Linked DNA regions of Oryctolagus cuniculus. The protein of the gene in region 1 interacts with the protein of each later gene in a pairwise test. Links are inferred from orthologs where the notes say so. Each region holds a gene or a part of one and is shown in the gene's direction. Other genes may lie near its edges.

The links.
Region 2: the proteins of GLRX3 (region 1) and MOXD1 interact in binary tests that used the Homo sapiens proteins (3 or more experiments, as listed by UniProt). The link is inferred for Oryctolagus cuniculus from reciprocal best matches to the Homo sapiens genes GLRX3 and MOXD1.
Region 3: the proteins of GLRX3 (region 1) and CA9 interact in binary tests that used the Homo sapiens proteins (3 or more experiments, as listed by UniProt). The two-hybrid records come from large-scale screens. The link is inferred for Oryctolagus cuniculus from reciprocal best matches to the Homo sapiens genes GLRX3 and CA9.
Region 4: the proteins of GLRX3 (region 1) and TRIM36 interact in binary tests that used the Homo sapiens proteins (3 or more experiments, as listed by UniProt). The two-hybrid records come from large-scale screens. The link is inferred for Oryctolagus cuniculus from reciprocal best matches to the Homo sapiens genes GLRX3 and TRIM36.
Region 5: the proteins of GLRX3 (region 1) and MAPKBP1 interact in binary tests that used the Homo sapiens proteins (3 or more experiments, as listed by UniProt). The two-hybrid records come from large-scale screens. The link is inferred for Oryctolagus cuniculus from reciprocal best matches to the Homo sapiens genes GLRX3 and MAPKBP1.
Region 6: the proteins of GLRX3 (region 1) and CIAPIN1 interact in binary tests that used the Homo sapiens proteins (3 or more experiments, as listed by UniProt). The link is inferred for Oryctolagus cuniculus from reciprocal best matches to the Homo sapiens genes GLRX3 and CIAPIN1.
Region 7: the proteins of GLRX3 (region 1) and RGS20 interact in binary tests that used the Homo sapiens proteins (3 or more experiments, as listed by UniProt). The link is inferred for Oryctolagus cuniculus from reciprocal best matches to the Homo sapiens genes GLRX3 and RGS20.

Annotation. Positions count from the first base shown.
Region 1 is NC_091446.1:2,053,006-2,057,528, reverse strand, and holds the start of GLRX3 (glutaredoxin-3), read left to right. Parts: upstream 1-1,488; 5' UTR 1,489-1,574; coding exon 1,575-1,672; intron 1,673-4,523. UniProt on the Homo sapiens protein: Together with BOLA2, acts as a cytosolic iron-sulfur (Fe-S) cluster assembly factor that facilitates [2Fe-2S] cluster insertion into a subset of cytosolic proteins.
Region 2 is NC_091436.1:36,737,416-36,741,171, forward strand, and holds part of MOXD1 (DBH-like monooxygenase protein 1), read left to right. Parts: intron 1-520; coding exon 521-700; intron 701-1,253; coding exon 1,254-1,356; intron 1,357-3,119; coding exon 3,120-3,286; intron 3,287-3,756.
Region 3 is NC_091432.1:198,588,521-198,592,794, forward strand, and holds the start of CA9 (carbonic anhydrase 9), read left to right. Parts: upstream 1-1,240; 5' UTR 1,241-1,312; coding exon 1,313-1,658; intron 1,659-2,417; coding exon 2,418-2,447; intron 2,448-2,674; coding exon 2,675-2,845; intron 2,846-2,991; coding exon 2,992-3,134; intron 3,135-3,217; coding exon 3,218-3,310; intron 3,311-4,216; coding exon 4,217-4,274. UniProt on the Homo sapiens protein: Catalyzes the interconversion between carbon dioxide and water and the dissociated ions of carbonic acid (i.e. bicarbonate and hydrogen ions).
Region 4 is NC_091437.1:5,489,076-5,493,418, reverse strand, and holds the start of TRIM36 (E3 ubiquitin-protein ligase TRIM36), read left to right. Parts: upstream 1-1,361; 5' UTR 1,362-1,369; coding exon 1,370-1,495; intron 1,496-1,523; exon of another isoform or gene 1,524-1,564; coding exon of another isoform or gene 1,565-1,672; intron 1,673-4,343. UniProt on the Homo sapiens protein: E3 ubiquitin-protein ligase which mediates ubiquitination and subsequent proteasomal degradation of target proteins. Involved in chromosome segregation and cell cycle regulation. May play a role in the acrosome reaction and fertilization.
Region 5 is NC_091443.1:64,896,544-64,900,139, forward strand, and holds part of MAPKBP1 (mitogen-activated protein kinase-binding protein 1), read left to right. Parts: coding exon 1-110; intron 111-570; coding exon 571-737; intron 738-952; coding exon 953-1,098; intron 1,099-1,209; coding exon 1,210-1,407; intron 1,408-1,579; coding exon 1,580-1,664; intron 1,665-1,927; coding exon 1,928-2,220; intron 2,221-2,419; coding exon 2,420-2,977; intron 2,978-3,348; coding exon 3,349-3,434; intron 3,435-3,596. UniProt on the Homo sapiens protein: Negative regulator of NOD2 function. It down-regulates NOD2-induced processes such as activation of NF-kappa-B signaling, IL8 secretion and antibacterial response. Involved in JNK signaling pathway.
Region 6 is NC_091449.1:40,983,126-40,986,290, reverse strand, and holds the end of CIAPIN1 (anamorsin), read left to right. Parts: intron 1-1,449; coding exon 1,450-1,531; intron 1,532-1,929; coding exon 1,930-2,040; 3' UTR 2,041-2,532; downstream 2,533-3,165. UniProt on the Homo sapiens protein: Component of the cytosolic iron-sulfur (Fe-S) protein assembly (CIA) machinery required for the maturation of extramitochondrial Fe-S proteins.
Region 7 is NC_091437.1:78,680,421-78,684,928, forward strand, and holds the start of RGS20 (regulator of G-protein signaling 20), read left to right. Parts: upstream 1-1,502; 5' UTR 1,503-1,615; coding exon 1,616-1,780; intron 1,781-4,508. UniProt on the Homo sapiens protein: Inhibits signal transduction by increasing the GTPase activity of G protein alpha subunits thereby driving them into their inactive GDP-bound form.

The DNA of each region.
Region 1 (4,523 bases):
CACACAGTCCACCAGCTTTTCCAGATTTCCTGGTTTGCTTGTACGTGTGTGTGTGTGTGTGTGTGTGTGTCAGAGAGAAGAGAGGGAGCGCATACTTAGCTCTATTCAGTCATGTTTAGGTTCATGCATCTACCCCACAACCAAGGTACAAAATAGTTCTCACCCTCCTACTGCACTTTTTAAAGGATTACTTTTATTTATTTTTAGATTTATTTATTTGAAAGAGTTACTGATGGAGAGGGACTGACAGAAAATTTTTTTAATAAAAAGATTTTTTATTTTATTTGAAAGGCAGAGTTGCAGAGAGAGAGAGAGAGAGAGAGAGAAAGAATCTTCCATCTGCTGGTTCTCCCCAAATGGCCACAATGGCTGGAGCTGGGCCAGGCCAAAGCCAGGAGCCAGGAGCTTCTTCCAGGTCTCCCATGCGGGTGCAGGGGCCCAAGGACTAGGGTCATCTTTCACTGCTTTCCCAGGCCACAGCAGAGAGCTGGATCGGAAGTGGAGCAGCCTAGTAGCCTGGTCTTGAACTGGCGTCCATATGGGATGGCGGCACTGCAGGCGCCGGCCCCAAGGCTGCTTCTCATCACTAGGGCTGGGGAACGGAAGGCGGTGTGGGTCAGCCGTCGTGGCGCAGAGGTCAGACCAGCCTCGGGACGCCCCCATCCCAGTCGGACTGTGGATCCAGCTTCTTCAGAAGCAGAAGACGGTGGCCTGAAGGGTGCCGCTCAGGCAGGACACCCCGGCCTGGCCGGCCCCGCCCTGGCTTTTGCAGCCATTTGGGTACTAAACCAATGGAAAGAAGCGCTCTCTCTCTCTCTCTGTGTCACTCTGCCCTTCAAGTAAAAAAAAAACCTTTAAAAATTTCACAAAAAGAAATGTATCCAAAACAATTCAACATGCAATCCGTGTATAGATTAATTTTTTTGGAAGACATCTTTGAAATCCGGCCAGTGCAGGTCCCAGCCAGCCACCGGCCACTGAGGGGCAGTTCAGTTCCTGGTTCTCGTCCAGGCACCTGGAGATGCCCTCCTGCCCACCCTGACAGCAGCCTAGGAGACAGGCACAGGAAGCAGCAGCCACGGTGGAGCAAGCACGGGGCACCCCGTGGACCCAGAGCTAGCTGGGGGAGGTTCCGTGGGGGACCCCCGAGGCCCAGGGACCCCACAGTCCGCAGCCCCGAGGGCCAGGGACCCCACAGTCCGCAGCCCCGAGGGCCAGGGACCCCACAGTCCGCAGCCCCGACGGCCAGGGACCCCACAGTTGAGAGCTCCGAGGGCCAGCGGCCCTGAACCGGGAGCCACAGAGACCCCACAGTCCGCAGCCCTGACGGCCAGGAGCCCCACAGTGCGGAGTCCCGGGGCCAGGAACCCCGAGGCCCAGCAGCCGGGGCGGCCAGAGCCCAGCGCCCCGAGCCCGCCCAGGGCCCGCCGCGGGCGCCGCCTCCCGTTTCCCAGGATCCTCAGCCGCGGGGCGGGCCGGGGGCGGGGCTTTCGTGCGCGCAGCCGCCGTGAGCGCCGCGGCCCCGCCCCGATCGAGCCGCCCGCTGTCGACTGCTCCTGTCTGGCGGCGGCAGCATGGCGGCGGGGGCGGCTGAGGCGGCTGAGGCGGCGGCGGCAGTGGTGGAGGTCGGCTCCGCCCGGCAGTTTGAGGAGCTGCTGCGCCTCAAAGCCAAGTAAGCGGGGCGGCGGGCGGCGGTGGGGAGTGAGTGCGGGCAGAGAGGGCCGCGCGGAGGGCGCTCGCCTCGGCCTCGGGGAACGGGCCGGGGTCGCCGCGGCGCCCCGGAGCCCCCGGGCTGGGCAGCCAGCGAAGCCGCCGGAGCCCGAGCCGCCGCCTGCGGAACGGCCGGCAGGCGGGGGGCGCGGCGGGCGGGGGCCCGGGGGCGGCCTGGGACCCTGGGGCCCCGACCCTGCGGCCCCCGGCCCGGGCGGCCCGGGCGCTGGCGGTGACTCAGCTCTGCGGCAGGCGGAGGGGGCTGCGGCGGGACCCCCGCCCGCCCGCGGGGCCCGCGCTCGCCTTGGCCTTCGCCCCTGGCTGCCCGACCTCGCGGTGGGTCCCGCTGCAGCGGGGGCTTCGGTCCCCGTCCTTACCTCGGCCCTGAACCTGCTGGCTCCTTGGGCGGGGAGGGCCCGCGACCTGTGGCGGGCTCAGGCGGGTTTCCTCGTCCCAGACTGGCTGGGGAGGGTCCGTCGGGCTGGGCGCACGTGCTGCTCGCCCTCCAGGGGCCCGCGTTTTGCGGGGAGAGGGGCGCTCGTGCAGCCCTGCGCGCGCCCAGCGGTTGTCTGAGCCACGCGCTGGGCGGTTGGGGTGGGCGCTCGCTCCAGTGCCCGGTGGCAGCCCCGCCGCCTGCGAGCCACGTGACCCCTGGGCGGGTGTGGAGAACCGAGCCTCGGCGTGCCCCGCGGGCTCCCGCGTACGCTGCTGCGCGTGGCCTGCGGGAGGCATCCCGAGCGGGCTGTGTTGGGGGGCTTCGCAGGCGGGCGACCCGAGGCAGGTGATGCCCCGTCCTGGGGCCGGGGGACCCGCTTCGTGGAAGCCGCGAGGGTGGAGTGTGGAGGCAGGCAGCCCCTCGGCATGTCGAGTCTCCTTGGGGTGTTCGTGGAGCGGAGCAGGGCGAGGGCGGGCGGTGCGGGGCGCTCCCGGTGGAGGCGGGTTCTGTCACCCGGGGCTGGCGGGAACAGAGCAGTGGGGAGGCCCCCGCAGGGCGCCCGCGCGTGTGGGCCTCGCCTTGCTGGCCGGCTTGCAGCTCGCTCAGGGCACCTGCGTGCTGCACGCCTTTGTGTTTGGTTCCTGTGTGAGCCGTCCTGACAGGTTCCTGACAGGTCAAAGTTCACATAGAAAAGCCACTTGGATGTGTTTCGGGCGCTGGTCAGAGAGCCGCGTGCCCTGCGCGGTGGCTGATGGGCGTCTGAGGGCCGAGCAGGGGCCGACGGAACACTGCCTGCCTTCCAGGTCATCCTTCGCCAGTCCTCCAGCCATCACTGACCCTCGCTGCCCCGCGGGACGGCAGGGGCACGTGGCCAGCAGTGGGGGCTTTGCTCACTGGCTGCGCCCTGGAGCGGGGGTGCGCTCCGAGGGGGAGCGGCTGGACGGAACCCGCCTGCAGGAGGCCGTGTGGGCACTGCTCGCTTTCCTGACGCGGACCTGGGTTAATGACGCCGTCTACCACTTGGTCCGGATCTCATCCTCCTCTTCTCTGGAAGTTCCCTCCAGCAGTGCCTCGGACGGGTGGGCTGCCCTGCTGATGGGAGAAGGCTGTTCCGTGAACTCCCAGGCAGTGTGCCCATTGGTGTGTGCTCCAGGTGTGTGTTGAGATCGTGGGCGTGTGTGCTGAATTGGAAAATGGAGGTTAGGACATGGAACCTGGGCGCATCCTGGCTAGGGCAGAGTAACCGTCAACGCTGCTAGAATGTCAGGTGGTCGAGGCCCTTTTGTACGTGTTTGGTCTTTCTGGCATGCCAAGGTGGTAGGCACTGCCGTCTTACAAATGTGGAGTTACTGTTAAAACCGCCTTGGTAGTAATGGAACTGAAACTGGAATCCAGATCCGATCCATATGCTTTTTTCTTTTTTACGTATTTGCACTCACACTGTTACAAAGCTTGATAATTTATCTTAATTTTAAAAACATGTAATCGTATTGTGAACATTTTACTGTGGCGTTAACAATTCTTTTAAAACTTGATTTTTAGTGGCTTTACATATGTTTTAATGGCCATTAAAAATCTGTATTGTTAGATGTTCCCAGCTATTTGCTTTGTAAAATAATGGTAAAATATCCACATACATAAATCTTTACCACTTTAGTTACTTCTTCAGGATATTTTCATATTTTAAGAAATTTCTGAAGGATCCCAATTTCAACCAGCAGGATATGAAAGTGCGTCTCACCATCTTGTTTATCATTCAATATCATGATTTAAATAATCCTTTGTGAATTTGATGAAAAGTGATAGTCTAGCTTTTTAAAAAGTTGAGATTGGTTACATACATTAATGAAATGCACAAGTCTTGATTCTCTGATAGATGAGTTTTTAAAATTTATCTATTTGAAAGGCAGAGCGACAGAGGGAAAGGGGGGGGGAGAGAGAGAGAGAGAGAGAGAGAACTCTTCCATTCACTGGTTCATGCCTCAGAGCCCACAACAGCCAGGGCTGGGCTAGTCGTTTTCACAAACTGCATCCTGGTCTCCCATGTGGGTACAGGAACTCGAGTACTTGGGCCGTCATCTGCTGTCTCCCAGGCACACGAGCAGGAAACTGGGTTGGAAGAGCTGGGACTGTACCCAGGCTGTCTGATGCGGGATGTGGGCCTGCCAAGTGGCAGCTTCACCTCTGTGCCATAGTGCCTTCTCCAAGACAGGGTGAACTTTTTTCTTTTTAAAATTTATGTGCTTGAAAGGCAGAGTTACAGAGAGAGAGAGGTGGGGAGAGAGAGTGAGCTTCTGTCTGGTTTAATCCCCAAATGGCTGCAATGGTCTGGCCCAGCCCAAGCTGGGAACTCCTTCCAGGTCTGCCATGTGGGTGA
Region 2 (3,756 bases), on another chromosome or scaffold:
ATCCTAAGTTGTGCTAAGCAGGTGTATATATAAAAATAAATGGGACATCATCTATCATGTCCAATAGGGATGGGTAAAGAGAAGATTTTGAGGTGGGAGAGGAAACAATATTTGCACCTATAGTTCTGAATTCTTTCTTCTAGTGCATGGGAAAAAATAGGAGGGAAGAGGATCAATGCAAGGTAAAACCTAGAAGAATGTAAGCAAGTTTTTAAATAGTTGCTTAGCAGAATGGGTAAAGAGAACAAATGTGAGTTAAAAACAAAACATAAGCAGACAAGTAAAGTCCTCTGATTCTTGGAGTAAATAATTATCTTGGTTGTTGCCCTTATCATTATCATCTTCTTCATCATCATCATCATCATCATCATCACCTCTAGCACAAATTATACCTGAAATGCATAATTGAGAAGGATGTCTGGACAATAAACTGGTGATCAGTTATGCTAGTTTTGTACTTGTTGTAGGATGTTGTAACATGGTTCTCCCCATCACATCCTTCTTGTTTGTGTCTGTGCAGGTGGAGCCAGTGATACAGAGAGGACACGAGAGTCTGGTCCACCACATCCTGCTCTATCAGTGCAGTAGCAGCTTCAATGACAGTGTCCTGGACTACGGTCATGAGTGTTACCACCCAAACATGCCCGATGCCTTCCTCACTTGCGAGACCGTGATTTTTGCCTGGGCCATTGGTGGAGAGGTGGGGCTAATGATCACTGAGATGCAGCAGGAATAACTGATCATGTTCCCACCCTCCCAAATACAGTTCTAATAAGTAAAGCTCTACACACTATTTTTGATATGAGGGTGGTGTATTTCTGTTTTCATGGAAAGGATTCTTCCTGTAAATCATTTTATCTAATCAAATATAGAATAATGGAGTTCTTTTTTTAACTTTTATTTAATGAATATAAATTTCCAAAGTACAGCTTTATGGATTACAATGGCTTCCCCACCCCATAACTTCCCTCCCACCCGCAACCCTCCCCTTTTTCCCTCCCTCCCCCCTTCCATTCACATCAGGATTCATTTTCAATTCTCTTTATATACAGAAGATGAGTTTAGCATATATTAAGTAAAGATTTCAACAGTTTGCACCCACATAGAAACACGAAGTGAAAAATACTGTTTGAATACTAGAATAATGGAGTTCTAAAGGGTCAAAGTATCTTATAGAATCCTTGGCCTCTGAGTGGAGTAGAGCTGTCAGGGACTTACATGGTATATCGTCTCATGGAATTTTCCATATTTAGGGTTTTTCCTATCCACCTCACGTGGGATTATCCCTTGGCACTCCGTTAGATCCACATTATGTGCTCCTAGAAGTCCATTATGACAATCCAACTCATAAGAAAGGTGAGTTTAACACTTTGTATATTTTACTTATTAATTTTTAAAAAGTTTGTAGCTCTTACCTTTACTGAGGGGCTGCCGTTGTGGTATGTTGGATTAACCCACTGTCTGCAATTCCAGCATCCCACATGGGTGCTGGTTCATGTCCCAGCTGCTCCAATTCTGATATAGCTCCCTACTAATGTGATTGGGAAAGCAGCAGACCATGGCCCAAGTCCTTGGGCCCCTACACCCAAGTGAGAGACCCAGATGAAAATCCTGAACCCTGGCTTCAGTCTAGCCCAACCCTTGCCATTGCTGCCCCTTGTCGAGTGAACCAGCGGATGGAAGACCTCTTCCTCTCTGTCTCTATAACTCTGCCCTTCAAATAAATAAAATAAATCTTTTAAAAAAAGGGTTGAAACAAAACTGCAAACAGGTTGCAACAAATTGACCTATATGTTTATCATCCAAATTAGGGTACTTTGTAATGTGAAAAAAAGCACTATTCATGATTATACTGGGACAGTCAGCATTAAAACACACTGAACTAGGCAAATGGGCACATATGGCTATAATCTGAAAAAAAAAAAAAGCTTACATATTACCTGCCAGGAAATAGAATAATAGACATTTTTCATTTGTGATATAAATTAGTTCCAAATATACGGTGCTTGTGAAATATTTTCTTTCTAACTGCATATATGGAAAAGCCATCATTTGTTATGATAAAATATACTAAGTTTTTTGTTGTAACTCACAAACATATTTAATAAATCTTTATGTAGTGGCACTGTGCAATATGTTAAAGAAAGAGGCATTGCACTTTTGATGTCTGAATCTACTTAATTTCAAAACTAAGAAATTGCTAGATTTTATATATAATTATCAAAATAAGCAACTTAAAGTTATTATTTTACATTGATTCATATGATTATTGTGCAAATACTAACCACCAACTAGGTCTATTCTTGATTATATAACATGAATGAAAAAGCAACACCATGTCAATGCACACGGAAATAACAGACTAGTGGGAAAAAGAAATGATAAAATAATCATATCAGTTAACAGAAAATTGTATAAATGCTAGTTGACCCAAAGCCAGGATATCTGACACTATGACAGCATATAATTGGTAATGTCACAGAGTCAGAGGTGTGTGGTGCACATGGTTCAAAATTCTTGGAAGTACTTGAGATTCGTAATCTCTCACCTTGTCATAACCTTGCCATAGCAAGAACATGACTTATTCATGTTTCATCTCCACATTGATTAATGCAGTGCTGTTCATGTAAGAGATTCTTAATAATTATTTGTTAATTGAATGACTGTTGAATGAATAAGACACTGGTGACAAACTATAGACAGTTCATCCTTAGCATTGTTCTCCATCAGTAGGTGGCTTCTAGACCCAAAAGTTTTCACTTCAAAATAAATGTCATTGAACTTCACCTCTAAACACTATAAAAGCCACTTTTATTGAGTTATTCTATATTCTCATGATGACTATAATTTTCATTCTGTTGTCATATTAGATAATAGTGAAATGTATCAGTTTTTATCTCAGTAATTTCCCTCAGGATGTGATCTGTGTGTCCACCACAGTGGCAGACAACGTGGTGACTCATTTTAAGTCTTTCATGTGAAACTAATTGTTGTCTTACATTAATCTCTGCTTCTATCATTTCTCTTGTGAGATTTAAAGAAAATAAATTAATTTCAACTAAATACAAGGGTTTTAATTTAAAAAATCAAATACATTTAATGATGTACTCTTATTACAGGCTTAATAGATAATTCTGGACTGCGGTTATTTCATACAACGGATATAAGGGAATATGATGCTGGAGTAATTGAGGCTGGCCTCTGGGTGAGCCTCTTCCATACCATTCCTCCAGGGATGCCAGAATTCCGGTCCGAGGGTCATTGCACTCTGGAATGCCTGGAAGAGGTATGCAGTATCTGAGTTTTTGAGCAGCTATCTAAATATTAAGCAGTGCTCTTAGAAACTACGGTGTGAAAAATTATATGTTTGTTTATTATTTTGCTTGCCAGCACATTGTGAAACCATTATGATATTTTGAGCAGAAATATTGTCTTTTTAAGTCATGAAGTCCACAGGAGTATAATTCCAAAGACAAGAATAACTTGTAGGATATTTTTCCTTCTTACTCCTTCCATTTGTTTATATTAGATACTTTATTTAATCTTTTACAATTTATATCTTTGTTTGTATAGTCTTTCCTTTCACTTCTTCACCTTGTATGCAAATTTTTTTTCATCATTCATTTCATTTTTTCTGTTTTTCTTGTGCTGTGGACAGTATGGCAGATTGGTGCAGTGGGAGAACGATTATGCTCTTTTGAGTTATTTAGACCATGACTCTGATGGCCATGTCACCATGTTGGCTGTAAGACCAAG
Region 3 (4,274 bases), on another chromosome or scaffold:
CTGGAGCGCGGGAGGAGACTCTGAAGTTGCTTAAACAGGCAGACCGGGAGCCCCTCGCCCATTCGAGAGCTGGAGATCCTCTCTTCTACGCTGTCTCCTTGTGCCCAGCCCTCCCTCCACTGCAAGCTCACTCGCCGCCAACATGCCCTAATATAAGAATTGGATTCCATCATCCTCATGCTCAAAATATTTCATTCCTCCCCTCTGCCCAGAATACCGCTGTCCTATTGTTTTTACAAACCAGCCTGCTACTTCTTCTCCTTCAATGCCCTGATCAAACTTTACCCACTTCTGTACCACCTTCGAAGCAGAATTCCTGCCTTCCCGCTAAATATTACATGATGAAAGTCTCCGTCTCCCCCGCACGAGGCTGTGAGCTCTTGCGGGCAGGCGCTGTGATGTCTGACTCATTTCCATATCCCTAGGATATGGCCCAGGGTCTGACATAAGGTAGGTGCTAAATATTTGTTGAATGCAAGAGTGGCTGGCGTCAATTGTTAAGAATTAGATTAACCAAGGTGGTAAAAGATTTGGAGGAAGAACGAATAGTTTAACTTGGCGGAGGCATGAGGGAGAGTAGCCAGAGATAAGATGGAAAGGTCCCTTGGGTAAGGTTTTAAGGGACTTGGACGTCAGAAGAAGGTGGGCATAACTCTGGTAGCCCGTTGGGGAGCTGACACAGGTTTTCGAGCAGGGGAGTAATAGGATGAAAAGTTTAAAAAATACATCTAGTTTAAACTCATCAGAGTCCCTCTCACCCATACTCGGAGTTTCCCATTCATGCCCAGGTTTGCCTCCCAGCCAGCCCTCCACTGACTCACCTCTAGGCCTACCCAGCAGCCCGCCCTACCCCTTTGCCTGTTCCCTACCTAGGCCAGAGGTGTATACGAGGGCTGCCTGCCTTCTTAGCCAGGGGTCTTAGGGACCCCAGCTCCTCCATCTTTCCCCTTCCTTGCCTGGGGCTGGGAAGCAAGCCAGGGTTAACTGAAGCTGGCTGGCAAGCAGCCGGGTAGTGCCAGGGAGAGCATGGACAGTGCCAGGTGGTGCCTTGGCTTCCAAGCCAAGCCTGTGACTTCGATAACCTTCCCTACGCACACACCTGCCCCTCACTCCACCCCTACCCAGCCTCTGGTATCGGGGAGGGGGGCGCGAGGCCAGATAGACCCGCGGGACTTTGGCTCGCTCTCTACAAAAGGGCATTCTGTGAGTCAGCCTGCTCCCCTCCAAGCTCGCTCCTCCCCCACCGGCTCCTGTTTCCAATGCACGTACAGCCCGTACACACCGTGTCCCGGGACACCCTGCAGTCAGCCGCATGGCTCCCCTGTGCTCGGGCCCCTGGCTCCCTCTGCTGACCCCAGCCCCTGCCCGGGGCCCCACCGCACATCTGCTGCTGCTGCTGCTCCTGGTGCCCGCCCATCCCCAGAGCCTGCCCCAGGTGCAGGGGGAATCGGCTACAGGAGGAGGTTCATCAGGGGAAGGTGATCCAGTAGGCGAGGAAGATCTGCCCAGTGAGGAGGATCCACCTGGGGAGGAGGATTCCCCTGAGGCTGAGACTAAGCCAGGAGAAGAGGACTCCCTGAAGTTAGAGGACCTACTGACCACGGAAGCTCCGGTGCACACTCACGGCCCCCCGAACAACGCCCACAAGGGCAAGAAAGGTAAGCTGTCGTCCACCTCCCGATCTAGGCTCCCCTAGGTTCATGCCTCCCTGCCCAGAGCCTGGTCCAGGCCGTGGTTCTTCAGAGAAGGGGCAGAGCCTGCTCTCTAACAGCCGCCGTTCCAGCCCCCAGAGCTCCTGCCCCACAAGCCCCCTCGCTGCCTGGCTGATGGGGAGAGGGAGGCACGGATGGAGAGAAGTGATGGGAAAGACAGGGGGAGGCTGGGGAGAAAGAACTGAGCATGCAAAGGAAGTATGCATCGGGGGAGGAGGAGGGAAGGAGAGCAGAGTACAGGGGAAGAGAGGGGGAAAGATGGGGCCGGACAGTGGGTATCCGAGGGAGAGGAGGAGAACTGCAGAGGTCATCTGTCTAGCCAGGAAACAGCAGGTAGAGGAATCTGGAATTCTGCTTTCCACACCAGGAACTTTAGGAAAGGAGTGGGAGACCAGAAAGAGCAGAGGGATGAGTGGGGGTGGTGTGGGGGCATGGGTGAGGGAGGGAGAAAGGAAAGTTGGCCCACGGATTCGGGCCCGGGGACCGAGCCGCCGCCCGTCCCTTTGCAGACCCCAAAGCAAGGGCTCCAACCGGCCTCTCTGGGGCCTGCGGGGGTGTTTGGTCGCAGCGCCCTGTGATTGACACCAGGCATTTGTTACCTGCGGTGCCCGCGCGGGGCGTCTGAGGACTGCGACCCACCATGCTCCCGCTGCTGGGCAGCACTGGGCATTCACGTCGGCCTGTTACCCCTTCTCATTTACACAGGGGACGACCACAGCCACTGGCGTTATGGAGGTGAGACGCGCACCCCCGCACGCCGCCCGGGGACCCAGCTCCACTGATGCGCCCCGCCGCCACCCCGGCCTCGCGCGGGTCCTGGGCGGCCACCCTCCGCCCGCCGCCTGTCCCGCCCACGCCGCCGAGTTCTAGCTCCCGATCCCATCCCCTCTCCGTTACACCCGGGCTCCCTCAGAGTCCCCGACCCAATGGCCAGACAGCCTCACCATCCTCTCTCACCCCAGGAGACCCGCCCTGGCCCCAGGTGTCGCCCGCCTGCGCCGGCCGTTTTCAGTCCCCGGTAAATATCCGCCCGGAGCTCACCGCTTTCTGCCCGGCCCTGCGCCCCCTGGAACTCCTGGGCTTCGAGCTCCCGCGGCTCCCAGAGCTGCGCCTGCGCAACAATGGCCACACCGGTGAGGGGGTCTCGCGCGGAACCCCAGCCAAGTCGGAGGGACCATCAGGGGACGGGGCGGAGCCTGGGGGGGCGGTGTTTGGGGGTGGGGCTGGCCCTCGCCGGCGGGTGAGGCAGAGTGGGATCACCCCGCCTCCCCCTTCTCAGTGCAGCTGACTCTGCCCCCCGGGCTGCAGATGGCCCTGGGTCCCGGGCGGGAGTACCGGGCGCTGCAGCTGCACCTGCACTGGGGGTCTGCGGACCGCCCGGGCTCTGAGCACACCGTCAACGGGCACCGTTTCCCTGCCGAGGTGAGCCGGGAGCAGCAGAGGAGGAGCAAAGGGCGGAGCGGAGTTGGAGCTCTGCACTAGTCTGACCCTCGCGTCCTCCCCAGATCCACGTGGTCCATCTCAGCACTGCGTTCGCCGAGATCGGCCAGGCCTTGGGGCGCCCGGGGGGGCTGGCAGTACTGGCTGCCTTTCTGCAGGTACGGCAGCACCTGGTCACCCTCCCACCCGCTGCTTCCGCAGCTCCCGGGCTCCCTAGCCGGTCCAGCGCGCTCAGCCTGGTCCCTGGCTGTCCCTCCTCCCTCGGGAAGCCCACAGCCAGTGCCAGAGGCTGACATTTTAGACATAGAGAGAATACAGGGTAAAAAGGGCGGCCAGAGAGGAGGTGAAACTTGAAAGAAAAGGAAATGCCCAGTACAGGGAGCAGTGCTGCCACGCCCCAGCTGATGGCCCACTTGGGGCATGACAGGAGCACAGGAGCACGAGTCAGGGAGACGGACAGTGCTAACGCTCCAATGGCCTATGGTTGCCCTTGGTGGGATGCAGTACTGTGACCTCTTAAATGATCACACAAGCGGAAAGACTGGAGCAGGCTGAGTAAAGTGAAGAGTGGAGAGACACCTGTGAGGCTCGCGCACGGTCTGCCTGCTCAGGCCGACCTGAGAGACCAAGGTTCAGAGAAGTGCGGCATCGGCATCAGCAGGGCAGGACCCCCCAGTGCAGGCGTCCATGCGAGAATCGTGAGTGTGGCTGCAGAGGTAGCAGGAATGCGAATCTGTACGATGGGTTTCTGTGGGGGACCATGGAGTGTGCGGAGGTGGTGACCAAAGTGAATAGGGCCCAGGTCACCGAGGCCTTGTCTCCAGGACGGGTGGCCCCTCCTTCCCCTTCTCCTCCAGTTTGCCATTGAAAACTGGTCTGCCGAGCTTGCTAGTTTGCAAAGCAAGAGTATTACGACTTTGGGTAATAATGAAGCTGTCTGTTTCCCTACCATTCTCAGTGCTGAGGAAAGGGAGGGAGGCTGTGGGGAGCCCTCCCACGTCCAGGCCTCCAGCCAGGGCCCAGATGCGTGTATCAGTCTGTTTTGCACTGTCTGTCATCCGCAGGAGGGCCCGGAAGAAAACAGCGCCTATGAGCAGCTGCTGTCACATTTGGAAGAAATCC
Region 4 (4,343 bases), on another chromosome or scaffold:
CGCCTCGCCCGGAGCCCGCCGCTTTGTGCGCGCCCGTCGGTCGCGGCGGCGCCGGGGACCCCCAGGTGGAGGCGGGGCCGCGCGGGTCCCGTGAGGTCGCGCTCCCGCCGCGCCCCCGGCCCCCATGGCCCTGGCGCGGCCCCGCACTGCCCTGCGCCTCGCCCCCGGTTGCGGCCGGTGCAGGGGCGGTCGGCGGAACTCGGACTAGGAGCGGAGGAAGCAGCGGGACGAAGAGCCGTTCGAGGCCCCGGGCCCGGCTGTCCCGAGCTCGCGCGGCGCCATGACCATGTCCGAGTCCGGGGACGGGGGTGACTTCGGCTACATCATGGACCTGCTGGCCAAGGGCAAGGTGAGCGCGGGAGCGCGGCGGGCGCGGGGCAGCCCCTTCTCTCGCTCGCTCGCGGCTCGGAAACGCGCCCCGGAGCCTTCGGGCGCGCGTGGGGCCGGCGGGGCGTGGCGGGCGCGCAGCTCCGAGAGCCCTGCGCGCGAAGACAGGGAGGCGGACCCGGCGCCGGCCCGGGGCGGCCCACGCGCCGTGACTCCAAGTGGGCGACCTCCCCGGGGTCCCGGGGCCGCTGGCCGTCGGGCCGCGCCGGGGGAGTGCAGCCTCGCTTCTGGCTGGGCCGGTCGCTCAGTGCGGCTGCTGCGGGAGGACCGGGTTCCAGCCACGCACCTGCAGCCCGGCGAGAACCTTCGGAACCCGGGTCGCGCAGCTGGCTTCGGCTCTACGTGGACAACCGGCCCCGAGAGGCGCCTAAGGGCTTGCGGACTGCTCCAGGAGCGGCCCCCGAGACCCAGGGCGGCGGGGAAGAGCGAGGGACGTCTGCCTGCAGCGAGGGAAATGGAGGGCCGGCTCCCCGCTAGCCGTCAGCGCCCGGGACGAGTCCTATCCCGCAGCCCCACTCCCGGCAGAAGAACCGGGCGAGCCGGGGCCGGGGCCGGGGCCGGTGTCAGGGCCCCGCAATGCAGGCCCCCGCATTCTCCGCTCCGCAGTCCCGACAGGTCAGCCCCAAGGGTTCCCTGACATCCTGGGGCCCGTGTCCACGCCTCAAAGCCACGTGGCCGACCCTCCCGCGTGCGGGGCGCCTGGGGCCAGCATATCCACACCCTTCGCGGTCGCCCCCAGCCACCCCTTGTCCCCCGAGGCTTGTGCCAGCACCCCCAAACGGAGCCAGATGAGGGGGTCCGGAAGAAGGGCCGGTCTTGAGCCAGAAGTGCGCAGCACGCGAAGGCCCAAGTAGCCCTCGGAGCCAGGCCGCACTGCGGTCAGCTCCCCCCATCCCGCCCAGGGCGCCGCCCAGGGGGCCAGCGGCGTGGTCACTGGGGGCCGGGGGCGGGGATTGATTACAAAATAAACGGACCTTTCTTGATGGGCTGCCAGGGGCAAGCGGGGCCGTGGTGCCTGGGCTGCCCAGGCCTCATTTCTCCAGCAGGCCCAGCCGGAAATCCTGCGAGGATGGTTTTGGGCTGGGCCCAGGTGATTAGAGGCACAGAGGTGAGGGATCCTTGCAGTTCCTTGGGGCGAAGGCAGGTTTGACGCAGCCGGCAGTGTGTGTACCACGTCATGCCCACTGCCGCCAGCAAACCCACCGGTGACCCCGGCTGCACCTGCTGCGTTCCTCGGCCTCTCGTGCTGGACCTCCCACCCTCTTCTGCAGGCGAGGGCAGACACGTGAGTGGTCTCCGCTGGGAGGCCAGGGTCACTTTGGGATCCCTGTGGTGGGAGGGCAGGCTCTCCCTGTGGACACCTGAGACCGCTGCTCCTCCTGCCTGGTGGCAGGGGACGCTGGTGAGGAGCCACCTCCTTGTGTTTCCGATCCCGTTTACTGCCCGGCTCCATTCCAAGTCTCTGCCTTGCTGAGCTCACTGGCGTCTGACCACTGGACCCGCTGGCAGACCTTGGACAGTGGCTTGCTGTAGTCTCCTCCCGGGAGTTGGGTTGCACTTTACTCTCAGGTTTGTGATGTCATGGCTGCTAGGGGCTGGGCTACCTGTGAGTGCAGCAGCTGAGCCCGGGCCTCTCCTGTCCGCCCGCCCTCCCCTCCTCCCTGGGCAGCCGGGTCCCACGGGTTGGCCGCTGTGATGTTTTCTTTCACTTTCCCTCCGGGTGATGTCTCATCTTTGCTGTGGGCGTCTCAGACTGTGCACTGCTTAATGTAAAATGCGTGCTTCCCACAGACGCAGACCTGGGAGCAGCAGGGCTGGCTCAAGTCACTAGGTTGCCACCTTCCAAGTGGAAGACCTGTGTGGGGTTTCCAGCTCCTGACCATGGCCCTGGCCTAGCCCTGGCTGTTGCAGGCGTTTGGGAGTGAACCAGCAGATGGGAGCTTGCTCTCTGTCTGGAAGTTCTTGTCCCCCTGGGATTCACTGTCCAGAAGCAGCAGTGGGCTCTCTCTGTTCTGGGCTGTGGGAGGTGAGCCTTTCCTGTCCAGGTGACAGAAAACCTGCCTGCCACACCTGATCAGCTCCTGCACTCCGCTGTGATGGCCGCTTCAATATTTAATGTACACCATGAGCTCTTCCTCTGTAGTCTTCTGCTCACCAAATTACCCCCTGTAAGTGTGGTTAATGTTGAGGGTCATTCTCACAAGGTTCAGAAATCAGTGCATTTCCTTACGGTTTACACTCAAGTGCAGCTTTTAGCATTTCTGAAAGCTGTCTTTATCTTCGGTGCCTCACCTCCCTGGACTACATGTGAGCTTTGGAAATCTGTGGTCGCTATCTAGAATCACTCCAGGCAGTGCTTGCTAAGTGCTTTGGTCTTTTTGAACACTTGGTCTCATCAATTTTTTATCGTGTTCACATACCTGTTCCCTTTGTACATTCTTAATGGAATCACGTGATGAAGATGTGACGGCCAGGAACACACAAGAGTGTAGGTGTAGCATACTTCTTTATATTTTCAGCATTTAGCGTATTGGTGCTTATATGTGCATAGCCAGAGGGTTCTTCCTGTTTCTGTAGTTCAGTAGGCGCCGTCCAGGCGTGGGCACTGGGGTGCGGCAGGTTAAGCCGCCACTGGAGACGCTGGCGTCCCCCATTGAGTGCCTGGTTCGAGCCCTAGCTAACTCCGCTGCGGATCCAAGTTCTTGCTAATGCATTTGGGAGGCAGCGGAGGATGGCCCAGGCACTTGGGGCTCTTGCCACCCATGTGGGAGACCCGGATGGAGTTCCTGGCTCCTGACTTTGGCTGTTGAGGGCGTTTAGGAAATGAACCAGTGGATGGAAGAGTTCCTGTCTCCCTCTCTCCCTCCCTCACCCTCTCTCCATCTCTCCCTCTCTCTTCTCTTTTCAAATAAATAAATTAAAAAATAACTAACAGTGATTGTTCAGGCATATTCAATGAAGACAGCAGATTGAGCAAAATGAAAAAGCGTTTGAAAACTTCCATCTAATTTTGGTCAAGAAACAGACAATGATCTTCTTACTTGGTGAATTATTATTTTAGCTTTGAACATCTGTGAGGCACAGAAAATTTCAAGAGATTTTACAAACACACACTTTTTCAAACAAAAAGACACTTATATTCTGAAATAATTAGGTTTAGAAAATCCCCAAATCTAGATTAATGTAAAGTCTTAAAACACCACCTTGGACCAAAACAAAAACCCACCAAATGACCTGTTTGTGAAGGCGGAATAGATATTTGCTCCAGCAACTGAAATCCAAACGGAGTGGTAATGGCAAGGTTGGGCTCCCTGGAGTTTTCTTCAAGGTAGCTTTGTGGATCTCAGGATGGGTGCGGTGTTTGTGCTGCGGCTGCAGGAAGGCAAACACAGATTCCCATTTGGCAATATCATTAGAAAACATTTAATTTCGGGCCGGCGCCGCGGCTCACTAGGCTAATCCTCCGCCTAGCGGCGCCGGCACACCGGGTTCTAGTCCCGGTCGGGGCGCCGGATTCTGTCCCGGTTGCCCCTCTTCCAGGCCAGCCCTCTGCTGTGGCCAGGGAGTGCAGTGGAGGATGGCCCAGGTGCTTGGGCCCTGCACCCCATGGGAGACCAGGAAAAGCACCTGGCTCCTGGCTCCTGCCATCGGATCAGCGCGGTGCGCCGGCCGCAGCGCGCCTACCGCGGCGGCCATTGGAGGGTGAACGAACGGCAAAGGAAGACCTTTCTCTCTGTCTCTCTCTCTCACTGTCCACTCTGCCTGTCAAAAATAAAAAAAAAAAAAAAAAAAAAAAAAAAAAGAAAACATTTAATTTCATAAAAGCCACTGTTTCCCTCCGATTATTTGTCTGCTCCCTGGTTCTAAGAGTAATTTGGAACAAAGTATCTCCTACTCTGTAAAAGAACGTCTCTGTCATAGTGTTTATGAAACTGTGAACTCCATGATTGTTGCTT
Region 5 (3,596 bases), on another chromosome or scaffold:
AGACACTGGCCCCAAGCCCTCGGGCCCCCAGCCAGGATTCGCTGACCACGAGCCCGTCTGGTCCTGGGAGGAATGATCAGAAGGACTCTGAGATCTCACATGCTAGCCAGGTAAGCCAGCTTCCTCCCAGCTGCAGAGACCCCCAAGGAGCCTTGGCCAGCGTAGGGGCAACAGCTGGGGCCTGAGCACAGCTCCTGCTCTAGTTGCTCTGCCCCTCAACAAACAGTTTCAGACTGGATCTGGCAAGGCTGTGTGCTGTGATGGAGGTGGACAGGGAAGGGGTTGGGGTGGAGAGGCAAAGGTGGCCATGGATCTAGGCTGGGTTCCTTGGAGGACTCTTAGTATCAGGAGGTGGCTGGAGGTTGGCAGCCCAGAGTGCTGATACGGTTCTTGCAGAAGCACATAGCGTCAGCTGGAGCCCAGCCTGGCTTCTTGGTGTCTGTCCTCAGAGCTGGAGTGTTCAGCTTCCCCAGAATTGGCATACCCCAAAACCTTGCTTGCCTTGATTTCTTCTCCGAGGCTTTCTCCTCCTATCAGCAACCCCAGTAATGCCCCTTTGTGTGTTCCCAGGTTGAAAAGGGCCCCCGGCCTCAGGCTTCCCAACCCTGTTCCTGCCCCCACATTATCCGATTGTTGTCACAAGAGGAAGGGGTCTTTGCTCAAGATCTAGAGCCTGCACCCATTGAAGATGGTATTGTCTATCCAGAGCCGAGTGACGGCCCCACCATGGATACCAGGCAAGGGTCCTGTCCTGGCCAGAACTCGTGGACCTGCAGCTCCAGTCTTCCCTTCCCTCTGAATGTTTTTTAATTTGGGGCGGGGGGGCTGGCCTCCAAGATGCTCAGGGCTTGGCTACCACCTCACTGCTGTCTCATCCGTAGCGCTGCTCACAGGCCAGAGTCCAGTGGTGCTACTGCTCACTGCCTTTTCTTCCCCACTGACCCCCTGGCAGTGAGTTCCAGGTGCAGGCTCCAGCCCGAGGAACCCTGGGAAGAGTTTACTCAGGCAGCAGGGGCTCTGAGAAGCACAGCCCTGACAGCGCCTGCTCGGTGGATTACAGCAGCAGCCGCCTTTCCAGCCCCGAGCACCCCAATGAAGGTGAGGCTGCAGCCTCATGGGAGCGACCAGTGGTGGGGGCAGGGGTAGAGCGGTGGAGACCCTGGCAACAAGCAGGTGCAGCATGATGCCTCTCCCCATCCCCACATCCAGACTCCGAGAGCACAGAGCCCCTGAGTGTGGATGGCATCTCCTCAGACCTTGAAGAGCCAGCTGAGGGTGACGAAGAAGAGGAGGAAGAGGAGGGAGGCACTGGCCCCTACGGGCTGCAGGAAGGCAGCCCCCATACCCCGGACCAGGAGCAATTTCTGAAACAGCACTTTGAGACTCTGGCCAATGGGGCTGCTCCAGGTGTGGTCAGAGGGCCAGCATTCGGTGCCTGCAGCCTCTTTTTCTCCCTCCTTGCCTAGCTGAGAGGGAGGGCCCAAGGCAGGCAATGCCTTGGGGTTTCCTTCTGGGGAGGCAGAATCTAGGGCAGGGGCTTGGCTCTTGCCTTCATTGATGATTCCTACAACCCTGACAGGGGGCCCAGTTCGGGTGCCGGAGAGGACAGAGTCTCGGAGCATCTCGTCCCGATTCCTGTTGCAAGTGCAGACTCCCCCACTCAGGTACAGAGACCTGGCCCCACAGCAGCTGCCGCTGTCCTGACCCCCCCAGTGCCCCTGCCTCCGGGGCAGCAGGCAGCCCTCCTCCCTTCAAGGTTCAGGTGTTTTCCACCCCTGGTCCTGGGAAACTGGCCTTGCCCCAACCCTGTTCGCTTTGTGCATGTTCTCTCCTGGTGTCTCCCTGGTGCTGAGAGAGCTGCTCACCGTCTTGGCAGGGAGAAACACAGAGCCTTCCCCGGGTCTTCTTGCATATTCCCTCCCTGTAGGGAACCGTCGTCCTCCTCAAGTCTGCCACTGATGTCGAGACCAGTCCAGATGGCACAGGCGTCTAGTGAGCAGCTGAGAGGCAGTGCTGCCAACCCCCCTGGAGCACCTCCGGAGATGGAGCCCTCCCCTGGCAACCCTCGCCCTGAGCAGGCAGGCCCTGTGCTGTTGCCACGACGCCGTTACAACCCCGACAGCAGCCGGGCCCCCAAGAGAGTAGCTGCAGCCGGCTCCTTACCTGGACTGCAGAAAGCCCAGTCTGTGCAGAGTTTGGTGCCGCAGGGTGAAGAGCCAGGTGGGCTCAGCTTCAGGGTGTGGGCATTGTTGGCTGCATGGACGTGATGGAGGAGGGAGGGGCTGTGGTGGCCCTGATGTGGCCCTGGGTGTTGCCTAATGGACATGTACAGGGGAGGAGTGGCTCCCAGAGCTTGAACCTAAGTACCTGGATGCCTCCCTCACTGCCTGACCTGCACATACCCCTGTTTCTTCTGCAGATGAGGCCCAAAGTGGCCTGGGCTTGCTGCCCCAGGCTGATGGCCATCCATCTCAGCCCTACTCCTACCAGAACTCTACCACCAGTTCCATGGCCAAGATATCCCGCAGTGTCTCTGTTGGGGAAAACTTGGGCATGGTGGCCGAACCTCAAGCCCCTGCCCCCAGCCGAGTCTCACCACTCAGCAAGCTGGCCCTGCCAAGCCGGGCTCACCTGGTCCTGAACATCCCCAAACCGCGGCCGGACCGTCCTACCCTGGCTGCATTCTCACCTGTATCCAAGGGCCGGGCCCCTGCTGAGACAGAGCAGCCTGACTCCTCAGCTGGCGTAGGAAAGGCTCCCAGTGCATCTGAGAGGCGGGCCTGTTTGGGGGAGGGTGCTACTCCCAAGCCCAGGACAGAGTGCCAGGCTCGTTCTGGGCCCAGCAGCCCCCGTGCCCAGCAGCTGCCGGTCAGCATTCTCCTCCGAGGCCCTGAGAACTTGCAGCCCCCAACCTCTGAGAAGACTCCCAACCCCATGGAATGCACCAGACCAGGGGCAGCCCTGAGCCAGGACTCAGGTGTGCACAGCTCCCCAGTTCTCATTCTTGCCTCATCCTTTCTCTCCATCACTGTTGGCTTCTCTCTGGCTCCATCCCATTTCTGTGTGTCCAGCCTCTGGTGTTTTTCGTCCTGTCTGCTCCTGTCTCGGTCATGAGTCACACCCCTGATGGTGAGACAAGTCCTGCCCACCTTCATGATCTCCCTGCGTCCCACTCAGCCTTCAGTGCCTTCTGGGGCTGGGTAGGCCCTCCTTTCTGGACCTTGCTGTCTCAGTGGTGTTGGGGAGGGCACTAGAAGGGAAGGAGGCAGGAGGGAGGGACCGAGGCCAGTGGGGGGTGGCGCGAGGGCAGCTTGCTGGGCCTCCCTGAGCTCCAGCCGTCTCTCTCAGAACACACGGTGAGCCTGCAGGAGTGTGAGCGGCTTGTGGCAGAGCTCCGTGCCAGTGTGCGCCAGGCTGTGCGGCTCTACCACTCGGTGAGTGTTGGGCACCCGCTGGTGGGAACTCAGAGCGGGTCAGCAGTGCTAGGTCGCCGGGTGTCCAGAGCATCTGGACGAAGGCTGCTCCAGCGTTAACGTGGAGAAGGGGAGAAGAGCGTGTTAAAGGTTGGGCCAGGCCTCTTGAGCCAGGCACCTGGG
Region 6 (3,165 bases), on another chromosome or scaffold:
TCCCCGAATGGCCACAAAGGCCAGAGCTGGGCCGATCTGAAGCCAGGAGCCAGGAGCTTCTTCTGGGTGTCCCATGTGGGTGCAGGGCCCAAGCACTTGGGCCATTCTCCACTGCTTTCCCAGGCCACAGCAGAGAGCTGGATCAGAAGTGGAGTAGCCAGGACTCGAGAAGGTGCCCATATGGGATGTCAGCACCGCAGGTGGAGGCTTAGCCCACTTGCCACAATGCCGGCCCCCAATCCTTCACTATTTTTTAAATGCCTGTTTTATGTTGGATGTATTATACATAGAGCAGCAGTGGGGAATGTCCAGCCCGCAGGTTGTACTTGAAGGCCCACGACATCAGCTGGGCAGGCCCCGCCCAGACAGCTGCAGGTGGGATCCGAGATCCAGTGCATCTAGAGCCGGCTAGTTTTCAGGTGGACTTTTTTAAGATCTATTTATTTATTTATTTGAAAAAGTTACACAGAGAGAAGGAGAGGCAGAGAAAGAGAGAGAGAGGTCTTCCATCTGCAGGTTCACTCCCTGGATAGCCGCAATGGGTGGAGCTGTGCTGATCTGAAACCAGGAGCTTCTTCCCGGTCTCGTGTGGGTGTCGGGGCCCAAGCACTTGGGCCATCTTCTGCTGCATTCCCAGGCCATAGCTCAAAGCTCGGTCAGAAGTAGAGTATCCGGGACTTGAACTGGCATCCGTATGAGATGCTGGCACTGCAGGCGGTGGCTTTACCCACTACACCACAGCGCTGGCCCCAGGTTGATGATTTTGTATGGCCTGTGAATTATGTTATAAATATACAAATGGCTGTCAGCAGAAAAAAGGTCCCCACCCTGGCATGGGCCAGGAGTTGAACAGGTACCTTTTAAAGAACCACACACTGAATCCCCGTGTGCCGCCCACCCAGGTTCAGAAGCCTAAGCATCGCTGAGCCTCAGAAGTCGCAGGAACCCGGGAGGGGCCTGGTTTCCTGAGTTCGAGTTCTTCATCCCTGGGTTTGTTGGTAGTTTCCCCGCCCCGGGTGTGAACCCGCAGACAACATGGCCTTCAGTTAGGAAGAACCCGAGCCGGCGCTGTTCCGTACGTTCGCCCTGTAGGTGCAGGCGTGCTTCGTCAGCAGTTTGTGTCAGTGTGTGCCTGCCGGTGCTCGAGGTCAGGGACCCAGTGAGCGTCCAGGAAGCGCTGTGCTCTTCTGTTCTTCAGCAGCGTTAGATCTGCCTCCCGCACGGCGACAAGGACAGCGACAGCCCACGGGCGCAGGCCCTCCTGCTCCGCTTTGCCCTTAGCGTCTCCCCGTCTCCCCGCTGTCAGCCTTGTCTGCCCGTCCCCCGCCCCCGCGGCTGAGTTAGGACACCCAGGTGTGAATGGGAGATGGCGGCGCATCTTGGCGCCGTTCAGGCTTTCGCGTCTGGGCAGCGGTGAATCCCATTCTCCTGCGACCGCTGTCCCCACAGCACCTGCGGCCTTGCGGAAGAACTGGAGAAGGAGAAGTCGGTGCAGCAGAAGAGCTCCCAGCCCAAGTCGGCCTGCGGGAACGTGAGTCAGCCTTCCCCAGCCCAGGCGTGGGCCCGCCTCCCAGGCGCTCGCTGCCGCTGCCCGCTGCCCTCACACTGGGCGAGCGTGTGAGGATGCACGTGCGGCGGGGATGCGTGAGGGCGCGCTCGGGCCTGTGCGGGAGGAGCCCTTTTCCCTGCCTCCCGGTGGGTCCTGAGGTGATTCGGCCGCTGGAGAGCTTAGCTGCGCTCTGAGGCTCTCAGACTGAGGCCACGCGGCCTCGTAAGGACCGCGCCCTGCCTAGCGCTGCCCTGAACCCAAAGACATGTCCCGTCCCCGCTCCCCCGGCCGCCTATGCAGTCGGGAGTATCCTCCTTGCGGCCGTGTCTCCGGGCTGCCCTGACCTCGGCTTCCCTGCGGGCTCTCTCTCCTGTCTCCAGTGCTACCTGGGCGATGCCTTCCGCTGTGCCAGCTGCCCCTACCTCGGGATGCCAGCCTTCAAGCCCGGGGAGAAAGTGCTCCTGAGCGCCAGCAACCTTCACGACGCCTAGGGGCCCTCCGGCCGACTCCGCCCCTCCAAGGCCGCCCCGGCTGTGCTCCACTCTGTTTGCAATCCGTTTGCCAGAAGGTGCTTAGCAGACAGGGCTGCTGGCTGTGGGCGCAGTGGTGCGCAGTGCTGCTATGGATCCAAAGACCAAGGACTGTGGGGCCTGCTGAACCCACGCGGGGGCCTGTTTCCCCCAGTGTGAGGAGAAACAGAAGCCCCTCTCTGGCTGCTAACACGCTGACCAGAGCCCCTGAATCTACAGCCTGTGGGGAGGTCCGGGCTGCTGCCCCGCACACCTCAGGGCCTGGCGGCCTCGGGCTGGTGTCTCTTGTCTTCAGGGCACCACAGGAGCCATCGCTCACTGGTTGCTGTGACCCCGTCCCGTCCAGCGTCCCTCTGTCCCTTCCCACCATCCCATTTGACTGTAGTGTTGGATCTGTGTCCTGTTTCATTTCTGTTAACCTACAGGTATTAAACCCGCAGACTTCTACAATCATTTGTAGAGAGGGGTGTGTGTGTGTGTGTGTGTGTGTGTGTGTGTGTGTGTGTGTTATCTGCTGTGGGAGAGCCTCTGTGGCTTGGGGCGTGCGGAGAAGCAGGGCTGGGCAGGGCTGGGCGGCGAGGCCCAGCGCTGTGCTGTGCAGCCCTGTGGTCCCCTTGCTGCCCACCCGCACAGACTGGGACTCCAGCTGGCCAAATATTCGGAGAGATGATGTGCTTTTTTTTTGTTTTTAAAGATTTATTTATTTGAAGGCAGAGTTAGAAGGAGAGAAACAGAGAGAGTTTCCATCCACTGGTCCACTCCAAGATGGCTGAAATGGCCAGGGCTGGGCCAGGAGCCAGGAGCTTCCTCCAGGTCTCCCATGTGGGTGGCAGGGGCCCAAACACTTGGGCCATCCTCCGCCACTTTCCCCGGCCATAGAGACAGATCGGAAGTAGAGCATCCGGGACATGAACAGGCGCCCGTACGGGATGCCGGTGTTGCACACGGTCAGCTTCACCCGCTACGCCCTAGATTGTGTGCCTTCGAGAGCCCTGGAGTCGGTGATACAAGTGGTATCTGCCTTGGGAAGGTTGACTTGGTCCTCGGGTAGCTTTGCTCTCCCCGGTGCCTGCCAGTGGCGCTCAG
Region 7 (4,508 bases), on another chromosome or scaffold:
AAACTAATTTTTCTGCATGTGAATGCCATCCAATTGTCCCAGCACCATTTTTTGAAAAGATAATTCTTTCCCCCATTGAACTGTCTTTATACCTTGTTGAAAATCATTTGATCATAACTATATGGATTTATTTATGGACTATTGATTCTATTCCATTGATCTATATGCTTGTGCTTATTACGCCAATATCACACCATCTAAATCACTATAATCTTGTGATGAGTTTTAAACCAGGCAAATATAAATTCTCCAACTGTGTTCCACTTTTTCAGTAATGTTTTGAATATTTTGGGTCCTCTACAATTGCATATGCATTTTAGGATCAACTTGTTAACTTCTGGGGACTGAAAGGGTTACTGGGATTTCTTTGTATCTTGTGTGTTTCTTCTTAGTGAGTTTAAAGATTTTATTTATTTATTTGAGAGGTAGAGTTACAGACAGTGAGAGGGAGAGACAGAGAGAAAGGTCTTCCATCTGCTGGTTCACTCCCCAAATGACCACGATGGCTAGAGCTGGGCAGATCCAAAGACAGGAGCCAGGAGCTGCTTCCAGTTCTCCCACATGGATGCAGGGGCCCGAGAGCTTGGGCCATCCTCCACTGCTCACCAGGACATAGCAGAGAGGTGAATCAGAAGAGGAGCTGTCGCAACTAGAACCGGTGCCCATATGGGATGCCAGCGCCTCAGGTGGAAGATTAATCTACTGCACCACAGCACCAGCCCCATAAGTGAGTTTAAACAATGCTTTAAAAAGTTACAAAAAATGTTACCTTCTGCAAAAAAGGAATGTTGAGAGGGATTACAATGAATGCATAGATTTATTTGGGGGACCTGGGATCATTTTACAAAAGGAAACCTCTCTAGTTCATAATCCCAAGTATATCTGGAACCCTTATCTTTTTATACCCCGTGAACCCAACAGAAACTACTTAGGCATTAGTTACTTCTTGAGGTTAAGGTATTATATTCTACTTTTTAACATCTGTTTGATAACTTCCTATTTATAAAGTAGTTTATAAATATGAAGTATGGTAATACAAGCCAATTCTTGTCTTAATCATTGGGTGTCTAGCAACCTCTAAGAAAACCAATATAACTAGTTCCACATGATGTCAATAAAAAGTGTAATAACCTTTAAGCTTAAGTTTTGATGCTATCACTAAAGTGATCTTTTAAGAACTCTGGAGAAATTAGATTGACAATCTGCTGTCACTTGCACAGCCCAAGATTGTCAGGTACGATTACCTGTCACAAACTATTAACACAGAATGTTTGCCAAGCAATTTTTGCTATGTAATCTATCATCATGTACTAGACCGTGTATCACTTGAATCCTTTCCATTTTGGTTTAGGGTTGTATTTGAATTAGTTCCTACCTATAGAGGGCAGTCATAACACACTTAGGCATTCACAATAAGCGGCTCTACCTGGAATAGAACACTAAGGGCCACTGACCCACAGAACAGATAATCCTTGGGCTTTGATCCATGTGACTTTCCAGGGAGGCTCCAGGCAGACTCTGAGAGGACCCAGCACAAGCCAGATGAAGAGAAGCAGAGAAGGTCCTGAGCAAAAACCAGGCAGCAGGATTCACGTGAGGCCTCTGTCGTAAGAACATGCCAAGGCTTACCCAAGACAACCAAGAGTGCCTCCAGAAGCCCTTCCCCAGGCCAACTATATGGACACAATTTCAGCCCTTGTTTAGGACTGAGCGATATAATGCCAATATTCACCAAACCACAGAAAATGAAGGGGTCCTGCAAGCTCTGCCTGACGTCCAGGTAAGACAATCCCCACCATCTCCAACACTTTCTTGACAAGGGGGAGGGTAAATCCACAGAAAGTATAAAACCACAAGTCAGCTCTAGCGTTGTCACTCACTTTATCTCACTGAAGATTTATCTAAAACGTTTTCCAACAAACTCTAAGGAAAAAGTCGAGCTTGTGTGGTAATGACTGACTTGTACAGTTTCTCCAGCCTCAACTGTTTCCCTCAGCAAAACAAATGCTGATTTATTTCTTGCTTGCTTATTTTAGGAGATGATGTTTTAAGAAGCAGAAAATAGGAATATACATTTTGTGGCTGTTGATATTACTCCTCAGATTTTTTCTCCAATATAATAGCCCATAGAGTAAAGAAAGAAAAGTGATAGGCTGCTTCCTAAGAAAATCACTAGAGAAAAAAAATTCATCAACAAATGCAAGAATGTAGGAAGAAACTTACAGAGCTAAGAATTAGTGTTCTATATTCATAGTTTCCTAAGGTGAACTTCCTTAAATATAACAGTTCTAAAAATTCATGGAAATAGTATTAAAAGATGAGTTTATTTTGGTGTAAAAATGTTTGAAATCCATGCATATGAGAAAAAGTTCATGACAAATATGCATTATGAAAAAAATCAATGAATTACAAAAAATGCTCATACCAAAGTGAATTTATCTTTGATTCTATTTTCTATGAATTTTTTGAAGTGCTCATATTTAAATTTCTACCATGAAGTTATTTTATTTTCCAAAAATAATGACAGATCTCCTGTGTGGTATCCTTGCAGAAAGTCCATTGTAAGTCTGTAAATCCTCTTAACTATTAATAGAACAGTCTCTTAAAAGGTTATTTGGTGTGGAGGGAGTGAATACATGTTAATGTCTCACAAATAGCAAGCTGAAATCAGAACTAAATGCTGCAAGATCACACTACAGCACACCTGTCCAAATACTTGAACTCTAAAAGAGTCATCTGTCTCTGTGTTATGCTTATATCCTGATAATAACAACCATTATTTATCTGCAGACTCTGTTGCATTCTCTGTTTATAGCTGCCCTTTCCCCTGAAGTTACTTCAGCCAATCAGAACAAACAGAAGAAAAATTTAAAAAGTCATTAGGAGATATTTTCTGTAGAAATGTAATGACTTTGCATTTGAATTTTCAGACATATAACACATGAATTTTCATACACCCCTATCATCACCTAGACACTAGGTCTTTAGGAAACTATAATAAAATGGATGTACTGGCCAGGAATCTTTCATTAATGGGTATCTAAAAGTAGGCAACTCATCAGGGGACTCAAAATCCTATTTAGTTGGGTGGCACTCATCCCATCTTATGTGATAAAGTGATCATATTAAGTATGGTATTCATCATATACATAGGACCATAAGTCAAAGGGATCATATAAATAAGTCCAAGTGCCTGGTAATAACCATAGATAGAATTACAAAGGAGAGAAAATTCCAACATTGGAAGCTTTCCACACAGCAGACTCATAGAATGACAAACACCCTAAGCAGCTCTCTGACCTCAGAATCAGCTCCTAAGGCCTGATTAAAAACACCATGAGAGCATTTCAGGCATGGAAAGCCAAGACATAGTGGCAAAAATCAGTTCTGCATGAAGGATCTTTGTGAGTGAGACCCCAGGGGAAAGAAGGGACCATCAAAGAATGAGGTACTTTTCTCTGAAGGGAGGAGAGAACTTCCACTTTGCACATGGCCCTGTGCAAACGGTGCCGTGGCTCACTAGGTTAATCCTCTGCCTGCAGCGCCGGCATCCAAATGGCCACTACAGCCGGCGCACTGCGCTGATCCGAAGGCAGGAGCCAGGTGCCTCTTCTTGGTCTCCCATGCGGGTCCAGGTGCCCAAGCACTTGGGCCATCCTCCACTGCCCTCCTGGGCCACAGCAGAGAGCTGTACTGGAAGAGGAGCAACCAGGACTAGAACCAGCGCCCATATGGGATGCCGGTGCCACAGGCGGAGGATCAACCAAGTGTGCAGCCATTTGGGGGGTGAACAAATGGAAGGAAGACCTTTCTCTCTATCTCTCTGTCTCACTAATTCTGTCAAATGAAAAAAGAAAAGAAAAGAAAAGAAAAGAAAAGAAAAGAAAAGAAAAGAAAAAGAAAAACGACAGAGTTTGTGAACTCAAAAGGCTTCCATAGCCTTGGCAGCTCATGTCAAGAGCCTCGAGTAATTACTGACTTCATAAATAAGAGTGTCAGTTGTTAAATAGACAACAGGAGTCACTGTGCACTTGCTCCCCATGGTGGACCTCTGTCCTTAATGAGTTATACTATGAGAATTAATGGTAACACTTGTCTTCAAACTGTACTTTATACTTTGTGTGTCTGTGTGTGTGAAAAGAGTTGAAATCTCTCCTTAGTAAAGAGTTGGTCTTCTGTATATAAAGTCAATTAAAAACAAATCTTAATGGAAAATAGAACGGGAGAGGGAGTGGAAGGTGGGATGGGAGTGCAGGTGGGAAGGCAAGGATGGGGGAAAGAAACATTATAATCTCTGAAAGCTGTACATATGAAAATTTGCATTCATTAAATAAAAACCTTCAAAAAAAGATTCTTGCCAAAATAAATAAATAAATAAATAAATAAATAGACAACTCATGCAGAAGATATTTCTGAAAGGTAGAATTTGGAGGCTTCTCTAAGGAAAGAGCATAACATAGATCTTGCTGTGAACACACAACTATATAAAACCACATATGTTGTGTGTA